2 linked regions of the Stegostoma tigrinum genome follow. The protein of the gene in region 1 purifies or fractionates together with the protein of each later gene. This does not show direct contact. Links are inferred from orthologs where the notes say so. Each region holds a gene or a part of one and is shown on either strand. Other genes may lie near its edges.

Region 1 (15,572 bases):
GTTTGAGTTTCCGTGTGTCATTGTTTTTAATTGGATAGATAGGAAGGCTAGTTACAGTTTGCATAAGTACAAAGCTAGGTTTGATGTTAGTCAGCCCTCCTTTTCCAGAAAAACAGTGAATCAGTGGAACAGTTTGCCAGCTCATACAAACAGTAAGTGTTGGAGAAAGTCAGCAGTTCTGGCAGTATCTGTAGAGAAAGAAACAGAGTTAACATTTCAAGTTCTTTCTGTCTCTTCCTCAGAATTGAAGAGAGAGTGGAAAAGGATGAGTTCTGTGTGTGGAAAAGATGGGCAGTGTAACAGATTGAAAGACCAGGGAAAGGTTAGAGGATAAGGGAGGCTGGACAGTTCAGGTGTAACAGAACAAAAGGCAAAGGGAGTGATAATGAATGCAAAGGAGAGGTCCAAAGCAGATGCTACTAGTAGGTGTTCATAGAGAGAATATAAGTCAGGTCTGCTGAAAGCAAAAATCAAGATAAAAGAGACTAAGTAGGGGTGGAGGGGGCAGGAACAAAATGAAGATAAGAGGAGCTGCGTTTTTACTTAAAATTTCCATCACCCACAGTATTTTGCTTCATATTAGCATGCAATGATTTTCTGTAAGCCTTCATGAAAGACTAGACTTGCTGGCTGGTGTGGGCATTGCTTTGTACAAGATATGGATGCCCTGTAACATCAGTCATGGGCAATATGATCTCCTGTTCTAGTTCTGATGGACTAAAGAAGCAAGAATGGAATTTTCAATGCTTTTTCCTGAATTTGGCTTGGTCTTTCATTTGGATTTCTTGCCTTTTCTAGGAAATTATATCAGTTCACATGGGTACAAAACCTCTATTAAAATCTGCATAACAGATCAACTATGGGGATCAAGCTGGATGCATTTCTGCTGCCCATCATTTTCTTACGTTCATACATGCATTTTCTTTTCTTATAAAAATGACTTGAGATTAAGACTGTACTCAAAAATATTCATGCTTGAAATAGGAACAATAATACAAAATATCTGCATGCAAAAGATTTTGAAAGGTGTTATGATAATTATTCAAGATGAATCATAAAATCTCTACAGTGTGGAAGCAGGCCATTTGATCCAGAGTCCACATTGGCCCTCTGAGGAGTATCCCCAACCAGACCTACCCCCCTAGCCTATCCTTGTAACTCTGCATTTCCCATGGCTAATTCACCTAACCCGCACATCCCCAGAAACTGTGGGCAATTCAGCATGGCCAATCCACCTATTCTACACATTCAGGGCTGTGGGAGGAAACCCATGCAGACGTGGGTAGAATGTGCAAACTCCACACAGACAGACACCTGAGGGTGGAATCAAACCCTGGTCGCTGGTGAAGTGAGGCAGCAGTGCTATCCAATGAGCCATTGCACCACTTTCAAGAATCAACTAGTGTCAATGATTTGGCTGTACAATTGATAATTGCAAATCAAGTTAGCAGTCTTGGCCATGCCTTTGGCAGAAGTGTTTAGCATTGTTTAAGCACTTTGCCTCCCCAAGTCTACCACTATAATTCAACATCGCAACTGAGAGATCTCTAAATAAGTAGCATAGACTGGGATGGGCATTTTCTTATTACCTTATATTGGCCAATACCTTTACCTGCCCCGTATGAAGGAAATTATTCTGAAGAATTGTTTACTCCTGAAGATATAGTACTACTTAGTGTATCAGTGAAAGCCCATAGGAAGGTCAGGCATATTGACTTCCACCTGTGGAATCCAGGCTAGCAGCATTGTTACCTTCCCTGTGCACACTACCACCTTTCTCTCCAAAAACACACACACAGCCGTCCACACAGAATACATCTAAAAAAATGATTAATGTCCTTATCCACATCCTTAATGTGGGGACCAAGGAACATTTGTCTTGACAAAAGAATGAATGTGTCATGTCGGTGACCTTCCAATCAAAGGGCACTGACCTGAAAATTAACTCTCTTTCCCTCTCCATAAATGCTGTCTGACCTGCTGCATATTTCAGCATTTCCCGTTTTTATTTCAGATTTACAGCAACTCCAGAATTTTATTTTTGAACTTGACTGAAGTAGGATCTGGACAGCATTTGCCAATGGCAAGTGGAAACTAAAACTTTCAAATAGATGTGACAAGCTGGTGGTGCAGATGTACCCAGAATAGTGTTTGCACCATACAGTGTAGATCCTCTCCTCCTGATACAGAAAATTGCAATGCTGGTGGATGTTGGCAGTCACAATTCCACTGGTCATACAAGGTTTATGCTCTTAGAAGTCTGGGTCCAAAACATCTGCTTAACACAAAGTGTTTGACAAATACTTGGATTAAGTGTTCTTATATGGAAGCACCACATAAAAGTCCCATTTAGACATCACTGACAAAAGCCATGTTGAATATTTATAATCCAACATCTGTGTTAGGTTTCAAGAAATTTAATTATTACCCCAACGGCCAAAGTTGATCATGATGTCTGCCTCTCCATCGAAGATCCTTGAAAATGACAGTGGTGTGACGTCAGCCCATACCTGGAAGGCCCGAGCAAAAGCATCATCCACTGTCTCAGAGTCCAGATCGTAAGTGTATCCCAAAATCCTGTAAGGAATAAGCAGCAGAAGCTCAGCTTGATATGCCTAATCAGTAATGTAAGGCAGCAATGACAGAAATCCTTCTCATAACTCCCATTAGAATTTACAGTGATACAATGATTTATTTTAAGCAAAAACAAATCCTTTTTGGCACATTGTTGACTGCAAGTCTTTTCTTTCCTTAAGTGGTAACAGGAAATACTTTTCATAAGTTCATTGATTTGTACCTTGCTGTTTCTGTTCTTGGCTACTCCTGCCAGGAGAGCTCATGTTGTGGTCCGTCATGTTTGTCTGTCTTGCACCATCCTCACAAATCTACTGTTCCTTCTCTGTAACTGCTCTGTGACACCCAATCACTGAAATACCCCAGGGTGACCTCTCCAACGGCTGCCCTCCATTTTGCCCTCTAAGGCAATTCCTGCAGCTTTTCACCTTGACCAAATGGCTGAAAGAGTGACATTTTATTTTCTGAATGTCACTCTTTAAGAGTGTCACAGCTCTTGAAACTTCAAGTACCTTTTCATTTGTCTTATGATCTGTCTATCCAATTTTTAGCTTATGTTCTCAGCATTCACATTTCAAAAGGACTCTATTTTCTTCCACAGATCATGATGTGCTGTCCAGCTTCCTTAGGCATATAGGAGAGTTTTGAGAGTTCATTTCTTGTTACAAACAAAAGTTTTCATGTTGAGAATAAAACCTTCATTTTACAAAATTACCTCTGTCTACCTCTGTTGTTACCCTAACTAGGGCACTGCATCTGCCAAATGCAGTTATCATTTGATAAGTACAGATAAGTATCTATTTATTCCAGTGTGACACCATCAACTTCATTCTTCACTCTAGTACATTTGTATTCCATCGGAGTAACATTTTATTTGCCCTCTGGGTGTTCGTACACAATCCACTGGCTAAGCCTCAAAATTTTACTGCATCTATAACATTTTGTAGGGTCTCTTCTGATTCTGCAAGAAGTGGTGTGTCATCAGCATACCACAGTCTGTTATATTCTTGCCCAATTCATCATCCATAGAAGTTAATCTAATCCGCTAATTATTTAACAACTAGGAGCAGAAGTAGGCAATTCATGCCCTGCAGCCTGTTCTGCCATTTAACATGATCACAGCTGATCTTATCTCGGCCTCATTTTTCTGCCCGCTCCCTATGACCCTTTACTAATTAAAAGTCTATCTATCTAATCTTTGAATTTATTCAGTGCACTGGCAATCACTCTACTCCAGGGTAGTGAATTCAGCAGATTCATGACCCTTTCAGAGAAGTATATTTGTTCACTGTGTACAGCGACTAATTTTGGTGATAGTACACAAACTTATCATACTCCTCTTTTCGCTTGAAATGTGTCTGATCACCACTCTTCTAGCTTGAATGCTCATGGTGGCTCAGTGGTTAGCGCTGCTGCTTCACAGCAGCAAGAATCCAGGTTCAATTTCACCCCTGGATGACCAATTGTGTGGAGCTTGCACATTCTCACCGTGTCTCATGGGTTTCCTCTGGGTGCTCCAGTTTCGTCCCATAGTCCAAAAGATGTGCAGGTTAGGTGGATTGCCAAGGTTAAATTGTCCATAGTATCCAGGGATGAGCAGATGAGGTGGATTAGCCATGGGAAATGTAGGGTTATAGGGATAGAGTGTGTCTGAATGGGTTGCTCTTTGGAGGGTCAGTGACCTAAATGGGCTGAATGGCCCGATTCCACACTGTGGGGATTCTATGATTCTATTTGGTCCTAACGGAGGCTCTGGATAAATCTTATATTTCAGCAAAATTTCGAATGAACATTTTTCATAGTCTAAAAAACAGCTGTAAATAGTCTTTGTTACTCAAGATATCTACTGAAAATTGTTCTCGTTCTTATTTTAGGACTAAATTCACATTACGTTTCACCAAGTCCTCCTTTAAATATATTATTATTGCTTTCTATTACAATTTTCATGATGCATTTAATGAAACAACCGATTAAACAATTAATATCTTTCCTTCAAGGAAACAATTTTGAAATAACAGAGTAATACAACAATCAATCAAAAACTATTTTCGTTTCCCTACAGCATATTGAAACAATGAAGTTTTAGACATGCTCGCCAAGCCAGTGGATTTGGTTGCAAATGTTTCATCACCCTGCTTGGTAACATCATCAGTGTGCCTCTGGTTATTTATTTGCCTCAGTTTGCTGGGGTGTTTCGTACCACTTCTGGTTCTGTTTCTCTGGTTTGTACACTGGGTCTAATTCAATGTGTTCGTTAGAATGCCAGGCCTCCAGGAATTCCTTGGTGTGTCCCTGCTTGGTTCGTGTTATTATGGATGTGTTGTCTCAGTCAAAATTGCGTCCCTTGTTGTCTGTGAGTAGCGAGACAAGTGAGAACTGGTGGTGTCTCTTGGCGGCTAGCTGATGTTCATGTATCCTTATTGTCAGTTTTCTTCCAGTTTGATCAGGTGGTGTTTCTCACAATCCTTGCATGGTATTTTATATATTACACTGGTTTTGGGTATAGAATCATTTAGATTTGTCAGCAGCTGTCGCAGGATGGTTGCTGGTTTGTGGGCTGCCCTGATACCCAAGGGTCTGAGTAGTCTTGTTGTCATCTTTGAATAATGGTAGGGTGATTAGTGATTCTGGTCATGTTGTGTCTTCCCATTGTGATCTGTCTCGGAGGTAACAGTGGATTATGCTTTTCGAGAGTACATTCCTTTTGAAGGCTCCATATATGTGCTTCTGTTTCACTTTGCATTGTTCTGGGTTGTTGCAATGTGTTGTGGCTCATTTAAATAGTGTCCTGATGCAGCTCTGTTTATGGGCACTGAGGTGATCACTAGTGTAATTGAGTATTCGGTCTGTATGTGTGGTCTTTCTATACAGTGGCTAGTCTGGAGTTGCCTGGTGTTTTTGCATTCACTGGTGGCACACTGAAGTTGTTACCTAGCAAGGTAACTAAATGTTTGCAACCAAACCTACCGGCTCAGCAAGCATGTCTACAACCTCATCTGAGCTACAAATCTTCTTGAAAACTTTAAATATTGAAACAATCCCAATGAAACCGTCTTACCAGTTACATAAGTGATTAAAAGACACACCGAAGAAAACTCCACATGTTTATACACACCTACCTATAAGTTATTTGCTTATTCTCCCATTTGGGCATCTGTGGGAAGAAGTTGTAATTGGCCACGTCAGGAACTCCACACCGCGGTTTCTTCATCACACTTACTGTCTCACTGTCCAGTTCTCCAGTTTGTGGTAATCCAAAAAATTTCTGCATCTTCTTCAGTGTGTCTGACAGTACCACAAGATCACACCTTTCTTTCGGGCAGCCATAGAATTTATTCAAATATAACTAATATAAAATATAAAGAAATATGTTTGTATAGGTAAAATATTAAAGATTTTGAGACAGACATTAACAAGTTAGTTGAAAATGCTCTGATTCTGTGTTGGTTGAACTTGTGGCAAACTTTGCTGGTGTATTTGAGAAATTCTGAATGGATTCAAAAGTTGAGGGCTGACCACTTTAAATGCATTATAATTCTTATTTACATTGCAGATTTCATTTTGCACTAATATTGTGTTATAAGGACTTGATAAGTCAAACAGACATCCTGATTTTCTTGTGTTAACTTCTTGAAACTTGTAGTGCGCTTGACGTTAACGTTTTCAAGTATATTCATAACTTGATACTCCAAAAGCCAACTTTCATTGGCTAATAGCCTGCAGAAATCTGTCACGTGTTTCTGTAATCCTAGAGGCAGTTGGATTTATGCCATTATTTTTTCAGCACAGACACCGTTAGAATACCCACAAACTTTCGGGATCTTGTATGGATGCTTATTAAATTATGGCAATAAGTTAGCATCCAAAGTACATTGTTAATTTGACACGTATTAAATGTTTTGTAACATATATACGGACACAGTAGGCATATGGAAAGATTACATTTGTTCTACTTGTTTTGTGACTAATTTCCCAAATTTTTTTTAAACTTAGTCCTGCCCTTGTGTTCATTGAAATATAAGATTAATCCTATCACTAAGCTATTGGATAGCTCTTAGATAAACAATGTGAGGTTCCACTTATCTATAATTGTTTTGTTTTGTCTACATGCAAGGTCCCCTGCCTTGCCAAAACGAACAGATGTTATCAAGCCCCGTGGCGTTCTCTCTTCTAGACTTTTAAGAAACTTTGATGCCCTGGAGCCACTGAGGGGGGAAAAAGTAATCGCTTCCTTCGTTTCAACAGCTGTTGTGAAAGCTAAAGAAAACGACCACTTAACATAAAACGCCATTTGCAAGGCAGCCGGGCATTAGAAAGTTAACGTCTCCCCACACTTACAGTGGCTATTTCCTTGTCTGTCTTCGTGCTGTTATCACCTGGAAACTTGATTATGCCAGTCGGTGCCGCTAAAGTCTGCTGGACCCAGATGATCTGGAGCAAGGTTACTTTTAAGACTAAGCGATAAAAGTTGCCGCTTGTTTCCATGGTCATTTTCTTCCAGTGGGAGAGCACCTATTTATCAAAAAGAAATGCCGTTGCTGTGGTGTCTCTGCGATATCCTTCACTGCACAAACATTATGCAGTGTTTCTCTGCTTTGCCAGCACAGCTAGTCTCAGGCAACTATGTGCCGCTCTTAGCTGAGTCCCTGCCGACTGAAATCCTTTGTACTTCCAGATGCGCAGACGCGACCGATCTGCTAGAGCAGAAGGACTGGCGGAAGTTGAAAAAAAATCCACCGAAGGAAATGCATTCTCTGGCGACTGGGGCTGCCCCAAGTTTATATTTGGAAACAAGACTGTTCCGAAAATGAACGAGTTTTGTTTTAAAGGCATGATCGTTGGGTAAATGCACCAAAATTGTCAGAAAGCAACAATGTTCCCATCATATTTCGAAAAAAAAACAGTACACGTGAAACAAACCGCTCAGGTTTTGAGTTCATTTCACAATTCAGACGTTAGAATTGTATCGGTTGCAAAAGGACACAGGCTTTTGACCCCAAAGTACGCCATTGATATTTTTCTTCTCTTGAGGCAATATCTCTTCCTTACAGTAATCGCATTCCATATGTACTTTTGGAGATCCAGTTATGGAGAAAGGCGCTGTATAAATGTATCTTTCAAGCGAAGAATTGCAGAAATAAAGCTGCATGTACTGACCATTCAGTCCACAGATAATGATTAATAAGTAATTCTAGGCACGGGTAATATTGGCCCCTTAATTGTGTTGATACTCAATATAAACATGAAGGGTATATTAAAATCCTGTTAAAACGATTCGCACTTTTAAACCCACCCTTTTTAAGAATCTAGAGTGCAGTGATGAAAAAAATGCCAATTTTTAATTTGAAGGGCGTGTTGTAAACTTGTTGCATGACTGGAACAATCACAAGCCTGGAGGCGCCAGATAGTCTTTGTGTGTTTTTGTGTGCCAGACAAGACATCTTTTTCCATGCTTATGCAGCCAGATGTTAACTGCAATGGATCGCTCGCTGGCCGAATAACTCCAACACAGCCCGTGGGAGGGTCTGGAGGAGGCCGCTCGCTACAACACAGGAACGGGGCTGCAATCTTCACGCATCATTTTCAATTGCTGTTCCTGGAAAGTATACTGCATTTGCCGTGCATTCAAGGCCGTTTGTGGGTTAAACTTCGAGCATTTTGCACAGTTTACCTAGAAGTGACAACACCTATTGGCAGCACAAGGGCTGAGGCAGGTGTAAAGTGCTGAGACTTGGCATTAATGTGGACTGTCGTCCAACTATTTAGGTTGGTTCTTTGTACATTGACAGGAATCTTTAAAGAGAGTCGCACGTACAACCCCACTCTGTTCCAACTCATTGCTTAATCTTTACATGTTCAAGTAACGACAACCATACAATCCTGGATAACACAGTATGGTGCAGGTGGAACGCAGCGGGCCAAGCAGCATCAGAGGAGCAGCAAAGATGATGTTTTGGGTCAGCACCCTTCTTCAGAAATGTTTCAGAAAAGCTTCTGAAGAAGGATCCCAACCTGAAACGTCGGCTTTCCTGCTCCTCTGATGTTGCCTTAACTGCTGTGTTCCAACAGCTCCACATTGTGTTATCTCATACAATACTGGAATTTTTTTTCTTTATTCATTCATGGGATGAGGGCATTGCTGGCTGGGTAGCATTTATTGCCCATCCATATTTGCCCAGAGGACAGTTAAGAGTCAACCATGTTGCCTGGAGTTACATGTTGGCCAGACAAATATTCAAGTATTAATTGGGATAGTCATCGTGTAAAGGGTTTATAGGGGTCAGTGTGTTCGGTGTATTCTGCTCTTCAATTATATTCAACGTATTCAGGAGAGCTTTTAATATCTAGAAGGTCCAACAGGGATGATGCAGTACTGGACGTCATTCTGGGGAATGAAGATGTTTAATGTGTCAATAGGGGAGCATTTTAGTGTTAGTGAACCACAATGTATAATATCATGAGTTTGTTATGGGAAAGGAACATGTTGGCCTGCAAACAGAGATATGGATTGGGGAAGACAGATTTTATTAAATTAAGGCAGAACCTGGCCACAGTAGACTGTGAACAACCCCTTCTTGGTAAATCCACAGGATGGGAGGTGGGGTAGGGGGATGCTCAAAAAGGAACTGGGGAGAGTGCAAGCACAACATATTCCCGTTATGATGAAATGTAGGTGTAATAAGCCCATGAAACCCTTCGATAAGAAGGAAAAGAGAGGTTTTTGACAGATACAAATGGAGGCCTTAGTACAGTATAGAAAATGATTAGGGGAAATTAAATAATTATGAGAGCAAAGAACAAAGTACAGGTGGAGAAGATGAAGGAGAATCCCAAGATATTGTACAGCATATCAAGTGGAATATGATAATCAGGGGAAGAGTAGGACCCATTAGGGACCAAAGGGACAATAAGGGCATGGGATTTGGCAGACACTGGTAGAGTATTAAAAGACTACTTCACATCTGTTTTCACTCAGGGGAAGGAGAATGTAGATACAGAATTCAGGAAGAGGCACTGTGAGGTGCCGGGGGCCACAACAGCAGCAGAATTGTACTTCAGCACAATCTGCAACCTCATGGCTCACATACTCCCCTCCATTCAACCATTACCATCAAGTCAGGGAATCAACCGTAGTTCAGTAGAGAGTGCAGGAGGGCATGCCAAGACCAGCACCAGGCATACCTGAAGATGATTTGCCAACCTTGTGAAGTCACCAAACAGGACTATTTGCATGTTTAGGAGATAGCAAGAACTGCAGATGCTGGAGTCAGAGACAACACTGTGTGGATCTGGAGGAACATAGCAGCGTCAGAGGAATAAGAAAGTTGACGGTTCAGGTTCAGATATTTATGAAGAAAGTTCCCGACCTGAAATGTCAACATTCCTGTTCCTCTGATACTGCCTGGCCTGTTGTGTTCCTCCACCTCCACTCTATGTTGTACGTGCATGTCAAATGGCATAAGCAGCAGGTGACAGACAGAACTGAGCAATTCTACAACCAGTAGATCAGATCTAAGCTCTGCAGTCCTGCCACATCCAGTCGTGAATGGTGGTAGACAATTGAACAACTCACTGGAGGAGGAAGCTCCGCAAATATCCCCATCCTCAATGCTGGAAAAACCCAGCACATCTATGCAAAAGATAAGGCTGAAACATTTGCGGCAATCTTCAGCCAGAAGTGTTGACTGGATAATCCAAGTCATCCTCTTCCAGTAGTCCCCAGCACTACACCTACCAATCTTCAGCCAATTCGATTCATTCCAATGTGATATCACGAAACGATTGGAGACAATTGATACTGTAGAGGCTACAGGCCCTGACAACATCCAGCAATAGTACTGAAGGCTTGCGTTCCCAAATTTGCTGCTCCCCTAGCCAAGCTGTTCCAGTACAACTGCTCTCTGATGAAGGGTCTAGGCCGGAAATGTCAGCTTTTGTGCTCCTGAGATGCTGCTTGACCTGCTGTGTTCATCCAGCTCCACTCTTTGTTATCCAGTACAGCTGTAATATTGGCATTCACCTGACAATGTGGAAATTTTCTCATGTACATCCTGTACATAAAAAGCAAAACAAATCCAACCTGGCCAATTACCATCCCATCAGCCTACTGTTGATCATCAATATACTGATGGAAAGTGTCAACAACAGTACTATCAAGCAGCATCTGCTCAGCAATAACCTGCTCAGTGATGCCCAGTTCGGGTTCCACCAGGGCCACTCAGGTCCTGACCTCATTACAGCTTTGGTTCAAACGTAGACAAAAGAGCTGATTCCAGAGATGAGGTGAGAATAACAGCCCTTGACATCTAGGCTACATTGGGCTGAGTGTGGCATCAAGGACCCCAAGCAAAACTGGAATCAGTGGGTATCTGGGGAAAACTCTCCAGTGGTTGGAGTTGTACTTGGAAAAAAGGAAGTTGATCATGGTTGTTGGAGGTCAGTTATCCCAGCTCTAGGACATCTCTGCGGGAGTCCGTCACAGTAATATCCTGGCCCAGCCATCTTCAGCTGCTTCACCAATGATCTTCACTCCATGATAAGGTAAGAAGTGAGGATGTTCACCAATGATCGCACAATGTTCAGCACCATTGTGCCTCCTCAGTTACTGAGCTAGTCTGTGTTCAAAGGCAACAAAATCTGGACAATGTCCAGACTTGGGCTGACAAGTAACAAATGACATTCGTGCTACACAAACGCCAGGCTATGAGCAACAAGATGATCATAACCAGGATAATGGTGGTGGAACTAAGAACAAAAGAATGCAACAGCACAGGAACAGGCCCTTCAGCCCTCCAAGCCTGTGCTGACACATTTTGCCTTTCCATACTAAAACTGTCTTCACTTACAGGATCAGTATCCCTCTATTCCCCTCCTAGTCATGTATTTATCCAGGTGCTCCTTGAATGTTGCTCTTGTGTCTGCTTCCACCACCTCCTCTGGCAGCACGGTCTAGGCACTCACCACCCTTTGTGTGAAAAATGTGCCTCGCACATCCCTCTTAAACATCCCCCCCACACCTTGAACCAGTATCCCCTAGATTCCTGGGAAGAAACCTCATACTTTCCACTGCATCCATTGCCATTCACATTCTTATCAATCTCTATCAACGTTCACAATCTTATTAATTGCTACTTTTGCGGAGTAGGCAACGTCTGCCCTCCTGTCCCCAGGCACTCCTGTTTTTCCATTCCTTTTTCGTCTACTTTTCTCAGCTTCTTTGTAGCTTTTGCTTAAATTTATCTGATAAAGAGAGCCCTTCAGCAGGAAGGTGGCAGCATGGCTATAGAGTTGGCTGGCCTGTGAAGCCTGGAGTGGGACTTTAGTGGTGGCATGGAATGGGCTGGTGAAGCCTAAAGTGGGACTCTGGCAGCATCATGGCATGGGCTGGTGGAGCCCGGTGTGGGACTGTAGCAACGGAGAAGGAAAAGTTGGATTCTCTTTAAGTTACCTTTCTTTATTTTGATTTTATTTTGAGAATGGTGCCAATGCATGGCCTTGGAATAAACTTTTCACTGTATTTTGTATTGAATACATGTGACAATAAATGATTTAATTCAATTCAATTTAATCACCAATAAGAGACAATCTAACCACTGACCCTTGACATTCAGTGGTGTTACCATCCCTGAATCCCCCACTATCAACACCCGAGGGATCATCATTGACCAGAAATTCATCTGGACTCACTGCAAAAACACAGTGTCTACAAGAGCAGGTCAGATGCTAGGAATACTGTGGTGAGTAACTTACCTCATGAATCATCAAAGCCTGTCTATCATCTACAAGGCACAAGTCAGGAGTGTGATGGAATACTCCTCACTTGCCTGAATGAATGCAGCTCCAACAACACTTAAGAAGCTTGACATCCAGGACAAAGCAGCCCATTTGATTGGCACGGCATCCACAAGTATCCACTCCCTCCACCAGTGACACTTAGTAGCAGCAGTGTGTACTATCTGTAAATGCACTGCACAAATTCACCAAAGACCCTCAGACAGCACCTTCCATACCCACGAACACTTCCATCTAGAAAGACAAGGACACCAGATACATGGCAACAACATCATCTTCAAGTTCTCCTCCAGGCCATTGACCGCATTGACTTGGAAATATATCTTCACGGTCGCTGAATCAAAATCCGGGAATTCCCTCCCTAATGGTATTGTGAGTCAACCTACAGCAGGTGGACTGCAATGGTTCAAGATGGCAGCTCGCCACCACCTTCTCAAGGGCAACTAGGGATGGGCTAGCAATGCTGGCCAGCTGGCGATGCCGACATCTTTCAGATGAATTTAAAACAAACTATGAGGTTCTTGAGCAGATTGACATACGGAGTAAGGAGGAATTGAAGGTTTAGGCAGGATTAAAAGTGGAAAAGTGGACTGTTTCCACACTGTAGAAATTCTATGATTCTTAACTGAAGAGGAATCCTCCAAATTCTCTGTCTTTAATAGTTTCTTTTTGAGGTTTTGAACATAGGGGAATTGTCCATTTGAATTGTCAATTTCCTGAACAATTCTCACAGAATCTTTTGCATGCTGGATCCCTCAGGGCCCAGACATGAGTTTGCATGTATTTACAACTCCTGTCTGTACTGTTCCAGTCACTATCTGACCATCAGAATAAATAGGCCTTTATGTGTTTTACAGACATTGCTATTTTTAAGCAAATAATGGGCTCAAATTTTGTTGCCTAAATAATGGTGAAATTAATACACATACACCATGCTTAATGTATAAAGTGTGCAAGACCTGTAGATAAGGAAGACAATGCTATGAATTGAAATGCCCACTCCCGAGAGAGGAACCACAGCTTGATTTGAATCTCCTTGCGGGTTTCACAAAACTGCTGTGTTTGCATATTGATTACCAAATGAAGTCTAGAAATTTAGGAGTGGGACCTAACAGTCAAAACATTTTTTTTTAAACATTGAGACTTAGCTAAGAAAGTGAACAACCTAAACTGAGGAGTTAGTCCTGTCAGTACAGAATTGTTGTTAGAGATTATTGACATTGTAGGTTTAATTTTCTTTGTTATGCTTTTTAAAAAATCTCTTAATCAGTCTCTTTTTCCCTCTCTTTATGGCTCTTTCTATATCTGACATGACAATACTTAATCCTGTTTATTTCTTGATCATGAGGTTGCCCTTGATGTGGTGTCTAATGGTGTGGTGGTAATGTTCCTATCTCAGGAGAAGTTCTGCGTTCAAGCTTCACCTGTTGTAGACTTAATCATAATATGTTTGGAAATGGTGATTAAATATAACATTTTAAAGCCTCAGTGGGAAATGAAACATGAATTGTCCCCCTCATCCTTCAATGAACTAGATGCCCCTCTTTTCCATTAACTTATGGGCTAAAATTATTTCACAGTGGAGCATGAGGGTGAAGCAACATTTCATCAGATCCAGCAATATCGAGACAATATGTTTCATATATAGTGAAAGCTGTGGGGAATCCACTTACTTTAGACATTTTCTAAATATACCAGTGTTTGATCCTTCAAAGTAAAGGAAACGTTTGTGTGTGCTACTGCTGCTTTCACGTCCTATGTTACGTGGCCAAATATCTGGCCAGATTTGAACCAACAACTTCTGACCCAATGATGGAAGTGTTACAATTGAAGTAAAAATGACACTTTTACAACTTTATTTTTGCTTACTTTGTGATATGATCATACTGAAAATGGACTTTCACTACTCAAAGTTCATCATTTTGGTTCTGAGGAAGGGTCACCGGACCCAAAATGATAGCTTTGATGTTTTTCTTCACAGTTGCTGCCAGACCTGCTGAGCATTTTCAGCAACTTCTGTTTTTATTCAACATTTGACTTTAGTACCTGACATTTTCATGGACTAACATGGCTTTAAAATGGACACTTATGACCTAAATGGCATCTATAATTACTTAACAACCCGACAAAAAATGTGAAATGCGCCACCTGAGAATTGCCATTTTTAGCCAGACGCATTGAAACTTAATGAAGTTTCGAGAATTTTGCATACCTTGCTTTACTCACAATTGCAATGATAAAATCACATTTAAAGATGAAAGGCAATCTGCAGAGTTCGCAAATAAAATGAGCAGACTTAAGAGTATACTAGTGGACCTTTATCAGCAGCTGGTAAAGGACAGATGAGAAAAATGGATTTGTGAACAAGATCTGGAAGATATTCTCTCAATTTCAAACTCAGATGAACTAGCTGATGAACATCAAGTTGGAAGAACAGTAGCAGTTAACAGAGAATTTTGGGACATCTGCAGCTTTGTCATTACAGAAGAAACAAGGCAGCAGCTAAAGAGTTGGGGTAACAAAGTGTGAAGCTGGATGAACACAGCAGGCCAAGCAGCATCTCAGGAGCACAGAAGCTGACGTTTTGGGCCTAGACCCTTCATCAGAGAGGGGGATGGGGAGAGGGTTCTGGAATAAATAGGGAGAGAGGGGGAGGCGATCCGAAGATGGATAGAGGAGAAGATAGATAGAGAGGAGAATATAGGTGGGGAGGGGATAGGTCAGTCCAGGGAGGACGGACAGATCAAGGAGGTGGGATGAGGTTGGTAGGTGGGAAATGGAGGTGCGGCTTGAGGTGGGAGGAGGGGATGGGTGAGAGGAGGAATAGGTTAGGGAGGCGGGGACGAGCTGGGCTGGTTTTGTAATGCAGTAGGGGGAGGGGACGAGCAGGGCTGGTTTTGTGATGCAGTGGGGGAAGGGGAGGGTTGGACTCAGCTGCCATTCATTCAACTCAACAGCTCTAAAAAGCTACAAATTGCAACTGCTTTTACCTTTCTGGCCAAGCCAAATATCTCCCCCAACAGAGATAATGGGAACTGCAGATGCTGGAGAATTCCAAGATAATAAAATGTGAGGCTGGATGAACACAGCAGGCCAAGCAGCATCTCAGGAGCACAAAAGCTGACGTTTCGGGCCTAGACCCTTCATCAGAGAAGGGTCTAGGCCCGAAACGTCAGCTTTTGTGCTCCTGAGATGCTGCTTGGCCT
Region 2 (16,313 bases), on another chromosome or scaffold:
CTCAAACTGTTCACCCACTTCACCTTCCACCCCAACCTTAAGTTCACCTGGACCATCTCTGATACCTCTCTCTCTTTCCTGGGCCTCTCTGTTTCCATCTCTGGCAATCACCTGGAAACTGATATCCATTTCGAGCCCACCGACTCCCACAGCTACCTATTGTCTACAGGAATAGTGCCAGAATTGTCTACAGGAATAGTGCCAGATGACTGGAAGGTAGCAAATGTGGTTCCCCTGTTCAAGAAGGGGAGTAGAGACAACCCAGGTAATTATAGACCAGTGAGCCTTACCTCAGTTGTTGGTAAAGTGTTGGAAAAGGTTATAAGGGATAGGATTTATAATCATCTAGAAAAGAATAAATTGATTAGGGATAGTCAGCACAGTTTTGTGAAGGGAAGGTCGTGCCTCACAAACCTTATTGAGTTCTTTGAGAAGGTGACCAAACAGGTAAATGAGAGTAAACTGGTTGATGTGGTGTATATGGATTTCAGCAAGGCATTCGATAAGGTTCCCTACTGTAGGCTATTGTACAAAATGCGGAGGAATGGGATTGTGGGAGATACAGCAGTTTGGATCGGAAATTGGCTTGCTGAAAGAAGACAGAGGGTGGTAGTTGATGGGAAATGTTCATCCCGGAGACCAGTTACTAGTGGTGTACCGCAAGGGTCGGTGTTGGGTCCACTGCTGTTTGTCATTTTTATAAATGACCTGGATGAGGACGTAGAAGGATGGGTTAGTAAATTTGCAGACAACACTAAGGTCGGTGGAGTTGTGGATAGTGACGACGGATGCTGTAGGTTGCAGAGAGACATAGATAAGTTGCAGAGCTGGGCTGAGAGGTGGCAAATGGAGTTTAATGCAGACAAGTGTGAGGTGATGCACTTTGGTAGGAGTAACCAGAAGGCAAAGTCCAGGGCTAATGGTAAGATTCTTAGCAGTGTAGATGAGCAGAGAGATCTCGGTGTTCACATACACAGATCCTTGAAAGTTGCCACCCAGGTTGAGATGGCTGTTAAGGCGGCATACAGTGTTTTAGCTTTTATTAATAGAGGGATCGAGTTCCGGAACCAAGAGGTTATGCTGCAGCTGTACAAAACTCTGGTGCGGCCGCACTTGGAGTATTGTGTACAGTTCTGGTCACCATATTATAAGAAGAATGTGGAAGCTTTGGAAAGGGTGCAGAGGAGATTTACTAAGATGTTGCCTGGTATGGAGGGAAGGTCTTACGAGGAAAGGCTGAGGGACTTGAGGCTGTTTTCATTAGAGCGAAGAAGGTTGAGAGGTGACTTAATTGAAACATATAAAATAATCAGAGGGTTAGAAAGGGTGGATAGGGAGAGCCTTTTTCCTAGGATGGTGACGGCGAGCACGAGGGGGCATAGCTTTAAAATGAGGGGAGAAAGACATAGGACAGATGTCAGAGGTAGTTTCTTTACTCAGAGAGTAGTAAGGGAATGGAACGCTTTGCCTGCAACGGTAGTAGATCCGCCAACTTTAGGTACATTTAAGTCGTCATTGGACAAGCATATGGACGTACATGGAATAGTGTAGGTTAGATGGGCTTGAGATCAGTATGACAGGTCGGCACAACATCGAGGGCCGAAGGGCCTGTACTGTGCTGTAATGTTCTATGTTCTATGTTCTAGAATACACCTCCTCCCACCCAACTTACTGCAAAAAATGCCATCCCACATCCCCAATTACTTTGCCTCCACCACATCTGCTCCTAGGACGAGGCATTCCACTCCTGAACATCTCAGGTGTCCTCATTTTTCAAGGACCACAACTTCTCCCACATCAGTGATCGAGAACTCCCTCGACCGAGTCTCCTGCATTTCCCGCAACTCATCCCTCACATCCCCTCCCCGCAATAACAGCCAAAAAAAATCCCCCTCATCCTCTTGTATCACCCCACCAACCTCCGGATACAACACATCATCCGCCGACACTTCTGCCATCTGCAATGTGTACCCACCACCAAAGACATTTTTCCCACTCCACCCTTATCTGCTTTCTGGGGGTCCACTCTCCCCATGACTCCCTTGTCCGTTGCATGCTCCCCTCCAGCCCCACCACACGCGGCACTTTTCCCTGCAACTGCAGGAAATGCTATATCTGCCCCTACACCTCCTCCCTCACCCCCATCCCAGGCTCCAAGAAGACTTTCCACATCAAACAGATGTTCACCTGCAGATCTGCTAATGTGGTATACGACATCCGCTGTTCCCGGTCTGGTCTTCACTACATCAGGGAAACCAAGCGGAGGCTTGGGGACCGCTTTGCAGAACACCTACGCTCGGTTCGCAATAAACAACTGCATCTCCCAGTCGTGAACCATTTCAACTCCCCCTCCCATTCCACAGGTGACATGTCCATCCTGGGCCTCCTGCAGTGCCACAATGATGCCACCCAAAGATTGCAGAAACAGTGCCTCATATTTCGCTTGGGAACCCCGCAGCCCAATGGCATCAATATGTACTCCACAAGCTTGAAAATCTCCCCTCCCCCTACCACACCCCAAAACCAGCACAGCTTGTCCCTGCCTCCCTAATCTGTTCTTCCTCTCACATATCCCCTCCTCCCACCTCAAGCCACACTCCCATCTACCTACTAGCCTCATCCTGCCCTCTTGACCTGTCTGTCCTCCCTGGACTGACCTGTCCCCCTCCCTACCTCCCCACCTACACTCACCTTTACTGGCTCCATCCCCACCTCTTTGACCTGTCTGTCTCCTCTCCACCTATCTTCTGCTCTATCCATCTTCTATCCATCTCCCGCTATTTATTTCAGAACCCACTTCCCCTCCCCTATTTCTGATGAAGGGTTTAGGCCCAAAACGTCAGCTTTCCTGCTCCTCTGATGCTGCTTGGCCTGCTGTGTTCATCCAGCCTCACATTTTATTACCAATTTAACTTGCTGGTTACAGAGATAACTACCCAATCCCAGAACATAATATGCTCCAAATACAACATCACACTTACCTTCCTCTGCCACTGTCACATACTTATACTCATGCACACACACAACCACACAAATGTGCATGTGCACACCCATTGGTGCATACACAGACACACGCATACACACACACTCATACACGTGCATACACGTACACACATTCACACGCACATGCAAATATATATACTCACATATTCACGCGCAAACACATACTTGTGCACACAGACAGGCGTGCACACATGCACACACATATATGCATGAACACATGCAAGCACAAACATGCACACATGCACGCACACCCACATGGATGTGCACACACACTTGTGCACATACTCACGCGCGCACACATACACACACACACACACACACACAAAAGCACATGTGCAAATGAGCTTTCTCTCACACACACAGTGCAAGCAAGTAGCTCTATACGCGTGTGCACATGCACACTCATGCATGTACATACAGAGGCATACATGCATATGCACATGCACTCACACATACACAAGCGTATACACACATATACACACTCACATGCACACACACATACACACGTATACACACACATATGTATACACACTCATGCACACACGTACACAAGCGTATATATACACACTCACATGCACACACGTACACAAGCGTATATATACACACTCAAATGCACACAAGCGTACACACACATATACACACACTCATGCTCACACACACATGTATGAACAAACATGCGCGCGCGCACACACACACTCACATGCATGTACACACAGACACACACACATGCATGCAAACACGCAGAGAGAAACACACACACACACACACACACACACACACACACACACACACACACACCATCGTCATTGTTGGTCCTTCAGAGATGAGGATGGTTCACTTCCACATTCAGGGTGAGTCTTTAAGTGGCTGTACAGACTGGTGCAGCTTCCGCAGCCTCTGTTACATTTGGGGTAGGTGGTGATCACAGGGAGGGCGGGGGGTGGGATTGGTGTGGCAGTGCGCTTCTTTCGCTTGACTTCTGCTTTTTCCTGACGGCAAGTCTCGACGTGCTCGACACCTTCCCGGATGCACCTCCCCGACTTTGGGTGGTCTTGGGCCAGTGATTCCCAGATGTCTGTGGAAATGCTGCACTTTGCCAGTGAGGCCTCAAGGGTATCCCTGAAGCACTTCCTCTGTCACCTGGGGTTTGCTTACTGTTTCAGAGCTGGGACCAGAGCACCTGCTCGGGGAGTCTTGTGTCGGTTGTGCAGACAACATGCCCAGCCCAATGCAGATGATCAAGGGTGGTCAGTGTCTCGATGTTGGGGATGTTGGCCTGATCGAGGAGGCTGGTGTTGGTGTGTCTTTCTTCCCAGCAGCTCTGCAGGATCTTGCACAGGCAGCATTGATGTACTGCTCCAGTACTTTGAGGTGTCTGCTGTAGACAGTCCATGTCTCAGAGCCACATGGGAGGGTAGGGACCACTACAGCCCTATAGGCCATGAGCTTGGTGTTGGATCTGATGCAGTTGTTTTCAAACACCCTTCTCCTCAGGCACACTGCTGAATGTCCTCATTAATTGCTGCTTTGGCCAAGAGGACACTCCTGAGATATTGGAAGTGGCCGATGTTTTCTAAGATCACCCCATGGATCTTGTTGATTAGGAGGTTTGGTCTCCATTGCCTGGCCAGCTTGTTGGAGGACGTTTGTCTCGTACGTGTTCAGAGTGAGACTCATAGTCTCCTATAACTCTGTAATGGTGCTGACGATGACACACACACACACACACACACACACTCAACCATACAGTCAGGCACACGCTTACGCACATATATGCAATCACACACTTACTCAGACACACACACACACACACACACACAGTCACACAGACAAGATCGTGCTCACACAAATTCCCTGTTCCAGACAAACATTCGCAGATTTTCCTGTTCTCTTGATGGAACTTTGCTTCCCATTCAGTGTGTATGGGATAAAAAAACTCACGTTTGGGCCCTTGGGTTTGGAGTAACCAAACAAAATCACAGAGCCTGAGTGACTGGTTAGAGAGACCAATCAGGGTCACATAGTCTGAGTGACCAAATAGAATGACCAATCACAGACACACTGCCTGAGTGATCCATTAGCGTGACCAATCATAATCTCACAGTTTGAGTGACCAGTTGCTATGGGTTACAGATAAACATCTGCCCAATTTTACTTGGTCATTTCTCTGGCTCCCAGCTGGTCACCAGTTGCTCATGACAGAGTCTCTGGTCCTGGTCAATCTAAGGCACTCAGCTCAAAGGACAACGGCTGTGATTTGAACCCTTGCCCTGGGCTAATAACCCAACAGTTCACTCCCACCAGCCTCACCCAAATCATTTTCCTGCCCCCACTGAACCTTTCCATTCAACCCTCCCCTCACCCAAAAACACTGGCAACTGACTCTTTCAATCCTGTAACATGGTATCACAGGAACACGTCCAGCACAGAGCACACCACGGCCTATCGTGTCAGCACCAGGCTAACATTATTCTTCAATTTCCTGTCTGCCTGGGGAAGGGCCCACTCAGATAGGTGATGATCCGTCCTGAGCTGCACTGTCTCAGTGACAGCTTTCATTACACTGGGGTTGGGCTGGACAGAGTGGAAATCTCCCTGAGCTGGGAAGATGTGAGAGGCCAGTCTCCTGGTTCAAGGACACAGAGGGTCAGTGCTGTCCCCATCCTCTCATCCTGAAAGTGGCAGGACCTGGTTCAGCTGTACTGTCTGCTTTTCAGAAATTTCAAGCTAGCAATAGCCCTTTTATCTGTTTGAGACTTGGCTTTATCGGTTCATATTTCAAAGGCAGTTACCGTCTCAAATGTAACCAAATCCCAAAGGAAATCTAAATCCAGGCAACTGCCTCTCTTCTGTAACATTCTCCTCCATTACAGGAGACAGAGAAGGGAATGGATTGAGAAGTATAAAATTATGAGGGGAACAGAGAGAAAGAGATTCTTCACTTTGGTAGAAGAATCAGTGACGAGTGTGATAGAGATTGAAGGTAAAGGGTGGGGGGCTGTGAGGAAAAGCTGTTTCACCCCGTGGGTGGTAGGAATGTGGAACTCACTGGCTGTAAGGGTGGGAAAGGTAGAAACCCTCATCACTCTGAGGGAGTATTCAGATATATACTTGTAATACCAAGGCAGACAAGCTGTAGTCCACTGAACAAGTAAGGACTGCGGGTGCTGGAAGCTAGAAGCAATAAATATGGAGCTGGAAAAGCACAGCAGATCAGACAGCATCCAAGGAGCAGGGATGTCAATGTTTCAGGCTGAAACCCTTCATCAGAATTGAGAAGGGGAGGGGGAGACCAGAAATTAATAGCGGGAGGATGGGCTGAGGTGAGGGTAAGTGAGATGGAGATAGGTGGATGCAGGTAGGGGATTATTGTGTTGTTCAGTGGGAAGGGTGGAGCAGATAGGTGAGTAGGAAGATGGACAGGTTGGGGGTGGAGAGATTTTGAAGCAGGTGAAGTCAGTATTCAAGCCATTCAGGGAAAAGGGCCCAAGGCGCAATATCAGGAGTTGTTCTTCCAGTTAGTGTTTGGCCTCTCTCTGATAGTGGAGGAGGCCAAGGATGGACATGTCACTAGGGGACTGGGAGGGGGAGTTTTAGCATGTGGTAACTGGGAGGTCGGGCTGGTTGCATGCAGAGGGCAGATGCTTCGCAAACCGGACCCCGAGTAGGTGCCTGGTCTCCTCAATGTAGAGGAGGCCACATCGGGAGCAGCGGACGCAATAGATAAGGTTGGATGAAGTGCAGGTGAATCTCCACCAGATTCCAAGTGCTGGAAATGGGACTAGAAGAGTTAGGTGGTTGCTTTTGACCAGCGCAAACAAGATTGGCCAAAGGGCCTTTTTTGTGCTGTAGATTTCTCTGACCCTATGCATAGGGAAATTATTCCCTCAATCCCTGTGATCAGGATCTCATTGGGACCTCTCCAACTCCCAGTTCAGCAGAAATGTAGACTGTAATTCACTATGATTCACTTAAACTGCAACATTCACTAACACCGTGAAGAATCACACTGGCCTGGAAAGGTAACACTGCTTCTCTCTGTCCCTCTCACTATCTGCCGCGGCTGCCAGACCTCCTGGTTTCAATTCAGTCATCAAGATGTTCTCATAACTCATCTGTAACTGGCCTGAACCAATGTCCAAATGCAACCCCACACCCCAGGGCTGTTCTCAATCTCCCACTTTACAAACTCTCCAGCGCTGTCCCAGGAGGCTATTCAGTTTTGGGGGAGATGCTGAGGCCGGTGTTAGAAATGGGATTTGTGAAATGGTGACTAGGGACAGCAGGAAGCATTGTGTCTGGGAACTGACACTAGGTACAGAGAAAGCCAGCAGCCCGTTCTAAAGCTGATCCGGAGAGACACAAAAAGAATTCTTCCAAATTAAACATGAACGCGGACAGAAGAACAAGCAAGCTTTCTCGGGGAATTGATTGGTTAAGGCGAGCTGTGTCAGAGCCGAGTCTGAACAGGGATCCGGGGGAATCTTATCTCACAAAATAAAAATCTTTTTGAAAAGGAATGCACTCAATTCAAACCAACTAATGGACTCCACATTGAGACTGTGTAGGTTGGGGGGTTGGGGTGTGGAATTGAGAACTTGTCTGATTTAGTTCACTTGCAATCCTAAACCAATGACTTCGGAGGATTTTTGAATGGAGTTTGTAGCCGCTGAGCTCCTGGCGAGAGCAGTTTGGGTTCAGAAACAGTCTGCACTTACCTGCATTTACATAAGTTATTACTGAGAGGATGAGGATTTGTAAAGTTACAGCACAGTCCCAAACCGTTCTTGCTCTCCTCCACCGGCTCCGGTTATCCATATCGTGCACAAGCTGCTGCTGTCACCAGCCCAGTTACGGGGAGGTGGGGTGCAGTTACAATGTCTGGGGCGGAGTGGGGGGGACCAGGAATTCAGGGGCTGGGGTGCACACAGGCGTGATGAGGTGGCGGGGGGGGGGGGGGGGTGGATGATATCTATGAAGCCATGGGGGATTTGGGTTCTCTTCGGTCTCCCAGTCCCAGCTCCTGGCGCCTCTCTGTTGCCTCGGCAAACTGGCCCTTCTATCCCCGAGCTGACAGCAAAACCTGGTCTCTCTCTCACACACACAGTTTCCTGGAACTGAACAATTCTGCAGCAACAAAAAGCTGGAACAAGAAGAGTTTGGTGGTTTGGGATCTCGCCCCCCCCCCACTCACTGCCCACTCAAACTCAAAGGGCTGAGACCGCCCAGAACAGCCTGCACTTTATTGGGCACTTAAGGAGGGAGGGCGCTGGAAACAGACCGAGAACTGAGGCTGCAATTTCCAACTTTGTTGTATTTCCATCAACCAACCGGAGAGGCCGCGTCTGAAGCGGCAAATTTAAGCACTAAACAATACACCATCGAACAAATACAAACCCACAGGATTCCCAACTCACACAGGATGCCAGAACAAACAGGATCCCAACATACTAGATCCCTAAACGCAGGATTCCAACACACAGAGGATCCCAATACACAGAAGATCCCAACAAATTGGATCTTAAAGCAAAGGATTCCAATAACACAAGAACTCCATGCAGAGTCCCACCACATACACACGATCCAAACACATACTGGATCCTAGTACACTGCATCCCAACACACAAGATGCCAAATGTACAATCACACAGGATTCCAAACACTCTAGATCCCAAACACAGGTTCTATACACATAATTTCAGACAGGATGCCAACACACAGAATCCCAGTCACAAGATCAAAAAACACAGGATCTCAAACAGAAGGTCCTGAAAGACAAGATTGCAAAGGATTCCAAACACAAGGTCCCAAAACACCCAAGTTCCCATAGCAGGATGCCAAGTGGATTGTGAAGACACAATTTCACACACACCTTTATTTATTCTGTACCTTTGATCCTTTCTTCCGCTGTCAGTTTGTCTCAATATCTTTCACTCTCTATATCTCTCAGTCTGCCTCTCTTTCTCTCTATCTCTTGCATTCTATCTATCTCTCACTCTAGTCTGCATCTCTCTCTCTCATTATCTATCTCTCTCTGTTTGTATCTGTCTCTGTTTCTAGCAAGTTTTGAGAAGATTTGTAGCTCAGTTTGAGGTTCTGGATGTGAGTTTGCTCGCTGAGCTGGAAGGTTCATTTTCAGACGTTTCGTCACCATTTTTTTATTTGAAAAAATATACTTTATTCATAAGATGTACAAAAAATAAAACATATTTACACACCTACCCAGTCATGCAAGCCACTCCGGGTTACCCAGGGGGTACATACACCAACTAAAGGAAAAAAACAAAGCAAAAAAAAACAAAGCAAAGAAAACACCCCGGCAGTTGTCACCCCGCACAGTCCCCGTTGGCCCCCTGACCAGTTGGGGAAGGCGCCAGCTAGGCCCAGTTACCAGATAGGGCCCTTTTTTCTATTCTGGACGAGGGGTTTCATACCATGGTCTTTCCCCACCACGCCTCGGCAGCGGCTGCCCCAAGCTTTAGCGCGTCCCTCAGCACGTAGTCCTGGACCTTGGAGTGCGCCAGTCTGCAACACTCGGTCGGGGTCAGTTCTTTCAGCTGGCAGACCAGCAAGTTGCGGGCAGACCAAAGAGTGTCTTTCACCGCATTGATGGTCCTCCAGGCGCAGTTGATGTTGGTCTCGGTGTGCGTCCCTGGAAACAGCCCGTAGAGCACGGAGTCCCGCGTCACGGAGCTGCTCGGGACGAACCTCGACAAATACCACTGCATCCCCCTCCAGACCTCTTGCGCATAGGCACACTCCAGAAGGAGGTGATCGACAGTCTCGTCCCCCCCGCAGCCACCTCGAGGGCAGCGTGCGGTGGTGCAGAGATTCCGGGCATGCATAAAGGATCTCACTGGCAGAGCCCCTCTCACCGCCAGCCAAGCAATGTCCTTGTGCTTGTTTGAAAGTTCTGGCGATGAGGCATTCTGCCAAACGACTTTGGCAGTCTGTGTGGGGAACCACACGACGGGATCCACCCTCTCCTTTTCCCGAAGGGTCCCGAGGATACTATGTGCTGACCACTGCCTGACGGCCTTGTGGTCAAAGGTGTTTCCTTTCAAAAATTTCTCCACGAAGGACAGGTGGTACGGAACGGTCCAACTACTCGGAGCGTTCCGTGGCAACGAGGCCAGGCCCATCCTTCGCAACACCGGGGACAGGTAGAACCTCAGTAAGTAGTGACACTTGGTGTTTGCGCACTGAGGATCTACGCACAGCTTGATGCAGCCGCACACAAAGGTAGCCGTCAGGGCGAGGGTGGCGTTAGGTACGCCCTTTCCCCCTATCCCAGGTCTTTGTACATGGTGTCCCTGCGGACCCGGTCCATCCTCGACCCCCAAATGAAGTGGAAGATGGCCCGGGTGACTACAGCGGCGCAGGTCCAGGGAATAGGCCAGGCCTGTGCCACATACAACAGTACCGAAAGCCCCTCGCACCTGACAACCAGGTTCTTACCCGCGATGGAGAGGGACCGGAGCGTCCACCTGCCCAGCTTCTGCTTCAATTTGGTGATACACTCCTCCCAGGTCTTAGTGCACGCCCCAGCTCCACCAAACCAAACACCCAGCGCCTTCAGGTAGTCTGTCCTGACGGTGAAGGGGATGAAGGAGCGGTCGTCCCAGTTCCTGAAGAACATGACCTCGCTCTTACCCCTATTGAGTTTGGCACCCGAGGCCAGTTCAAACTGGCCGCAGATGTCCAATAGTCTACTCACCGACCGACGATCGGTGCAGAAGACGGCGACATCGTCCATGTACAGAGAGGTCTTGACCTGAAGGCCTCCGCTGCTTGGGATAGTCACGCCCTTCAGGCTCACGTCCTTCCTGATGGAGGCGGCGAAGGGCTCCACACAGCACACGAACAAGGCAGGAGAGAGCGGGCAGCCCTGCCTGACTCCAGATCTAACAGGAAAACTGTCTGATTCCCACCCGTTGATCGAGACTACGCTAACGATGTTGGCGTAGAGCAGCCGGATCCAATTGCGGATGCCCTCCCCGAACCCCAATTTGGAGAGGACGTCCCTCATGTAAGCATGAGAGACCCTGTCGAAGGCCTTCTCCTGGTCCAGGCTGACGAGGCAGGTGTCCACCCGCCTGTCCTGTACGTAGGCGATCGTATCCCTGATGAGCACGAGGCTCTCAGCGATCTTCCTGCCCGGCACAGCACAGGTTTGGTCAGGGTGAATCACTGACTCCAGGACAGACCTGACCCGGTTGGCTATGACCTTGGCCAGGATTTTGTAGTCCACGTTTAATAGTGAAATGGGACGCCAATTCTTAATTTCTTCCCTCTCCCCCTTCCTCTTGTAAATGAGGGTGATGATGCCCTTCCTCATGGACTTGCACATTTCCCCTGCCCGAAGCGCACTATCGTACACCTCCAGCAGGTCCTGGCCGACCAGGCCCCACAGAGCGGAATACAGCTCGATCGGTAAGCCGTCGCTTCCGGGAGTCCTATTCCTCTCCAAGGACTTGAGGGCTCTGGTCAGCTCGTCCAGGGATATCGGCCGGTCCAGCCACTCCCTCGTGCCGTCATCTAAGACCTCCGTAATAGATGACAGGAACGACTCGGAGGCCGTGCTGTCCGTGGGCTTCGTGTTGTACAGTCCGCCATAGAAGGATCTGCTGATCCTCAAAATATCGGGCCGAGACGACGTCATCGAGCCGTCGTCCTCCTTCAGCCGGCTAAGCACAGAGCTCTCTTTGTGCACCTTCTGAAAGAAGAAACGCGAGCACGTCTCATCCTGCTCCACGGAGCGGACCCTGGACCGGAAGATTATCTGGGAGGCCTCCGCGGCGAAGAGCGAGGCTGGCTGGCCCCTCACCTCGCGGAGGTCCTCTGTGACATCGACCCCCATCAACTGCAGAAGGAGCAGGTTCTGCACCCTTTTCTGGAGTCGCAACTGCTTTCCCCGCCTCTCTCTTGCCTTCTGAACACCCTTGAGGACAAAGAACCTCTTGATGTTCTCCTTCACTGTCTCCCACCAGTCGCCCGGAGACTCAAAGAGGGGTTTCACGGTTCTCCAACCGGCGTACTCCCTCTTAAGCTCCTCGACGTTCTCTGGGGTCAACAGAGTCGTGTTGAGCTTCCACGTCCCCTTGCCGGCCGGCTGGTCGTCCTGCAAGTGACAGTCGGCCAGCAGGAGGCAGTGGTCAGAGAGGAACACCGGCTCGACGCCGGTGGACCTGACCGAGAGCGCCCGTGACACAAACAGGAAGTCTATCCTTGAGCGGATAGACCCGTCTGGCAGCGACCAGGTGTACCTCCGCTGCGCTCCGTCTGCAGGGGTGCTGAAGACGTCGAGCAGCTTGGCGTCCTTCACCCTGCCCATCAGGAATCTGGACGTGACGTCCAGTTGACTCCCCCCACCCACTGTCCCCACGCCGGATCTTCCATCTGCATCGATGATGCAGTTGAAGTCTCCGCCTAGGATGACCAGCCTGGACGTAGCCAGCAGGGGTGGAAGCCGCTGCAGGACGGCCAACCGCTCACTACGTACCGCTGGGGCATACACGTTGATCAGCCTCAGGGGAGCGTTCCTGTAGGTGATGTCAGTCACTAGGAGGCGCCCCCCCCACCACCTCCTGAACTTGAGAGATGGTGAAGTTGCGCCCCTGCAGCAGAATAGCCAGGCCCGAGGAGCGACAGTCGTTACCCCCTGACCAGATCGAAGGCCCACAGGTCCAGACGCCGGACCATTTCCCATACCTGCCGAGGTGCGGTATCCTGCACTCCTGCAGAAACAGGAGGTCCGCCTCGATGGTGGTCAGGTAGGCCAACGTGGATACACATCTTGCGGTGGACCTGACACTGCGCACATTAATGCTCGCAACTTGTACCCCCGTTGTGGGCAGTGACCGCAGTACCCTCCCCAAGTCCAAGGTCCAGCCCCTCCATCTGTCCCTTCATGCCCATTGCCCGGGCTAACTGCTGGACGCTCTCCGGGCTCAGGAAACCATCTGTGCTGCCTTCCGGGTGGCATCCCCCCGTCAGGGGTGTGGAGGCAGGAGGGTCCGGCTCCGGGTCAGGCTGGGGACGCGTTGTTTCCTCCTCCCCGCCTGGAAGTTCCGGGGGGCCCTCCAGCGCCCCAGCGGCACTTGACTGGGTGTCGGAGGGAGTCTCAGGACGCCTCCCGTCACCTGGAAGCGGGGTGCTGCTTTCCTTCTCCTTCGAGATCTTTAATTTCTGCTTCGGGTGGGCCCTCTCCAAATCCCCCTCGTCAGAGAAGCTCTTATAGCCCCCCTGTAGTTGCCTCTTCCCGCCTGATGGTTGCGGTTCCTGGGCCCGTCGACGCACCTTCCTCCTCGCTTTCCGGACTGTTGTCCACTCCCCCGGTCGCCTGTCGCCGCCTCCATCGACTCCGGGTTGTCGGGGGAGAGCGGAGCCTGCAGGGGTGCTTTGCTGGCCTCGGGCCCATCCTGCGGGGCTGGGCCCTCCTGCACGGCCTGGCCCTCCTGCACATTAGTGGGGTCCTTGCTGGGCCCAGGTGCCTTCCTCTCCTCCGGGGGGGGGCTGGCCCCGCATTGCCCCTGCCGGCGACCTGGGTGTAGGTGGTCCCCCGCTGCGGGCATGCCCTATAGAGGTGGCCTGCTTCCCCGCAAAGGTTGCAGCTTTTCTCTTGTGGGCAATTCTCTGCAAGGTGTCCCTCCTCCCGGCAGTTCCTGCAGCTGGTGGCTTTGCAGTCTGCCGCCACGTGACCTGACCTACCACAGGCATGGCAGACTTTAGGTTGCCCTGCATAGGTCAGGTAGCCCTTGCTCCCGCCGATCGCGAAGCTGGATGGTGGGTGTACGACATTCCCGTCTGCGCCCATCCTCAGCGTCACCTTGACCTGCCTCTTACTCGTCCAGATGCCAAAGGGGTCCATGATGTCAGTTAGGTCCCCTTCCACCTTCACGTACCTTCCGAGGAAGGTCAGGACATCAACTGCAGGCACATGCGGGTTGTACATATGTACAGTCACCATACGGCTCTTCTGCGCTGGCATCACAAACAGCAGGACAGCGGTCAATACAGAGAGGGGGGCCTCACCTCCTTTCTCCTTGAAAACCTCCAGGAAACGCTCGCAAAGCTTGGCACTCCTGAAGGTTACATTGTAAAAACCTCCTCCGGGGAAATCCTGCAGGCAGTAAATGTCCACAGCAGTGAATCCACAACAGTCCAACAGGACCCTCTTCACGAAGAAGGTGCGGTCCACAGGTGCACCTTCATCCACCTTCTTTACGGAAACACGGATGGTGTTCCGGACCCCCTGACCTGGAGCACGAGCACTTGCCGCAGCCATCGTTGCAGGTTGGCTGCTCCCCTGAACCAGCGTTAGGCCGAAGCCAGCATTAAGATCCACTGGTCGCAAGGGTGCACAGCCAACCCGACGTCCTCCTTTCACCTCCAAGACAGCACTCTCCTCCTCTCGGTCCACAAGAGAGCAGGTCTTTATTATGTTCCAGATGTAAGCTGGTTCACTGAGCTTGCCGGTTTGTTCCCAGACGTTTCGTCACCATTCTAGGTAACATCATCAGTGAGCCTCCAACAAAGCGCTGGTGTTATGTCCTGCTTTCTATTTATCTGTTTAGGTTTCCTTGGGTTGGTGGTGTCATTTCCTGTGTTGGTGATGTCATTTCCTGTTCTTTTTCTCAGAGGGTGGTAGATTCGCTCCAAATCAATGTGTTTGTTGATGGAGTTCCAGTTGGAATGCCATGCTCCTAGGAATTCTCGTGCGTGTCTCTGTTTGGCTTGTCCTAGGATGGATGTGTTGTCCCAATCAAAGTGGTGTCCTTCCTCATCTGTATGTAAGGATACGAGTGATAGTGGGTCATGTTGTTTTGTGGCTAGTTGATGTTCATGTATCCTGGTGGCTAGCTTCTCTCTGTTTCTCTCTCTGTTCTTTTTTTTTCTCTAAATCTCACTTTCCCTTCTAACATCAGTCCTTGATGGTTTGGAGCTTAGGGAAGAGAGTGGAGGGTCACTGTCCCTCCCTCTGAATCAAGATGATGGCTGTGGAGCAGAGAATGGAAATACCTTGATCAGGAGAAGCAGGAGGGGATGGGAGGATGGTGTGTGGGGGATTGAATCTGAGGGATAGGGTGGTATTGGCTGGAGTGACCCTGCCCTCACTTTCACAGGCTGTGTCCTTTGAACACTGTGACAATGCCTCAGTCTCCAGAGACTAACAGCTCCCCATCTCTTCTCTCCTGCTCCTTGGGGCCGACTGTCCACCAATCCCATCAGATTCCTCCCACAAATCCTCAAATTTAAACCATTCTGTCCCAGATCCTTCTTATCAACTTGCTTTCTTGACATCTGCAGACAGGAGATCACTGTCTCACTGAGAGGGGATCCAGTCCTGCTGGAGGGAATGAGGGTCAAAATCCACCCTCAAATCCAAACACCGATTGAGGTAATGCTGAGCATTATTTAGATGGACAAAAAATCTGCAGAAAGCTACAGGGCATGGGGATTTGGGAGTTCTTGTGCATGAATCACAAAAGGCCAATATCCAAGTTCAGTGGGTAATAGGGAAGGCAAATGGAATGTTGAGTTTTATTCCAAAGAGAATGAAGTCCAAAAATAGGGGAGGCTTTGCTAAAACCATACAAGGAACCAGTCAGATCACAGTCGGAATGTAGTGAACAGTTTTTGTCCCGTGTATCTAAGGAAAGATAGACTGACTTTGGAGGCAGTGCAGAAAAAGTTCACTTGGCTGATCCTGGGTATGGAGGGACTGTCTAATGAGTAGAGGGTGAGTAGGTTGAGCCAGTACTCGCTGGAATTTAGAAGAATAAGAAACGACTTTATTAAAACACATAAATTCTTAGAGGGCTTGACAGGGGAGATGTGGCAAAGTTGTGTCCCCTTGTAGGAGAGTGTAGGGCTAGGGGCCGGAATCTAGAGTGAGGAGTTGTACATTTAAGACAGAGATCAGGAGAAAGTTATTCTCCCAGGTTAGTGAATGTGTAAAATTCTTTAGCGCAGAGGGCTGTTGAGGTATGGTCATTAAGTGTATTCCAGCCAGAGATAAACAGATTTTTAAATAGGATGGTTATGGGGAACAGGCTGGAAAGTGGAGATGAAGATTGTCATATCAGTCATGAGCTCACTGAATGGCAAAGCACACTTAATGGGCTGAATGACCTCCTACTGCTGCTATAGTCTCATGAGGCACTTTATCAAATGACATCGTGAAATTTAAGTACAATACATTCACTGGTTCCCCTTTATCTACAGAATGAGTTACTTCTTCAAAGAACTCTAATAAATTGGTTAAACATGATGTTCCTTTCACAAAAGTGTGTTGGCTCTGCTTGATT

Evidence for each region.
Region 2: the proteins of mmp2 (region 1) and col5a1 purify together in Homo sapiens (co-immunoprecipitation; 3 studies listed by BioGRID and IntAct, counting the BioPlex papers as one, with this or other methods). This does not show direct contact. The link is inferred for Stegostoma tigrinum from reciprocal best matches to the Homo sapiens genes MMP2 and COL5A1.

Annotation. Positions count from the first base shown.
Region 1 is NC_081369.1:21,840,356-21,855,927, forward strand, and holds the start of mmp2 (72 kDa type IV collagenase), read right to left. Parts: upstream 7,276-15,572; 5' UTR 7,066-7,275; coding exon 6,913-7,065; intron 5,921-6,912; coding exon 5,694-5,920; intron 2,578-5,693; coding exon 2,429-2,577; intron 1-2,428.
Region 2 is NC_081382.1:44,673,912-44,690,224, forward strand, and holds the start of col5a1 (collagen alpha-1(V) chain), read right to left. Parts: upstream 7,946-16,313; 5' UTR 7,822-7,945; coding exon 7,722-7,821; intron 1-7,721. UniProt on the Homo sapiens protein: Type V collagen is a member of group I collagen (fibrillar forming collagen). It is a minor connective tissue component of nearly ubiquitous distribution. Type V collagen binds to DNA, heparan sulfate, thrombospondin, heparin, and insulin.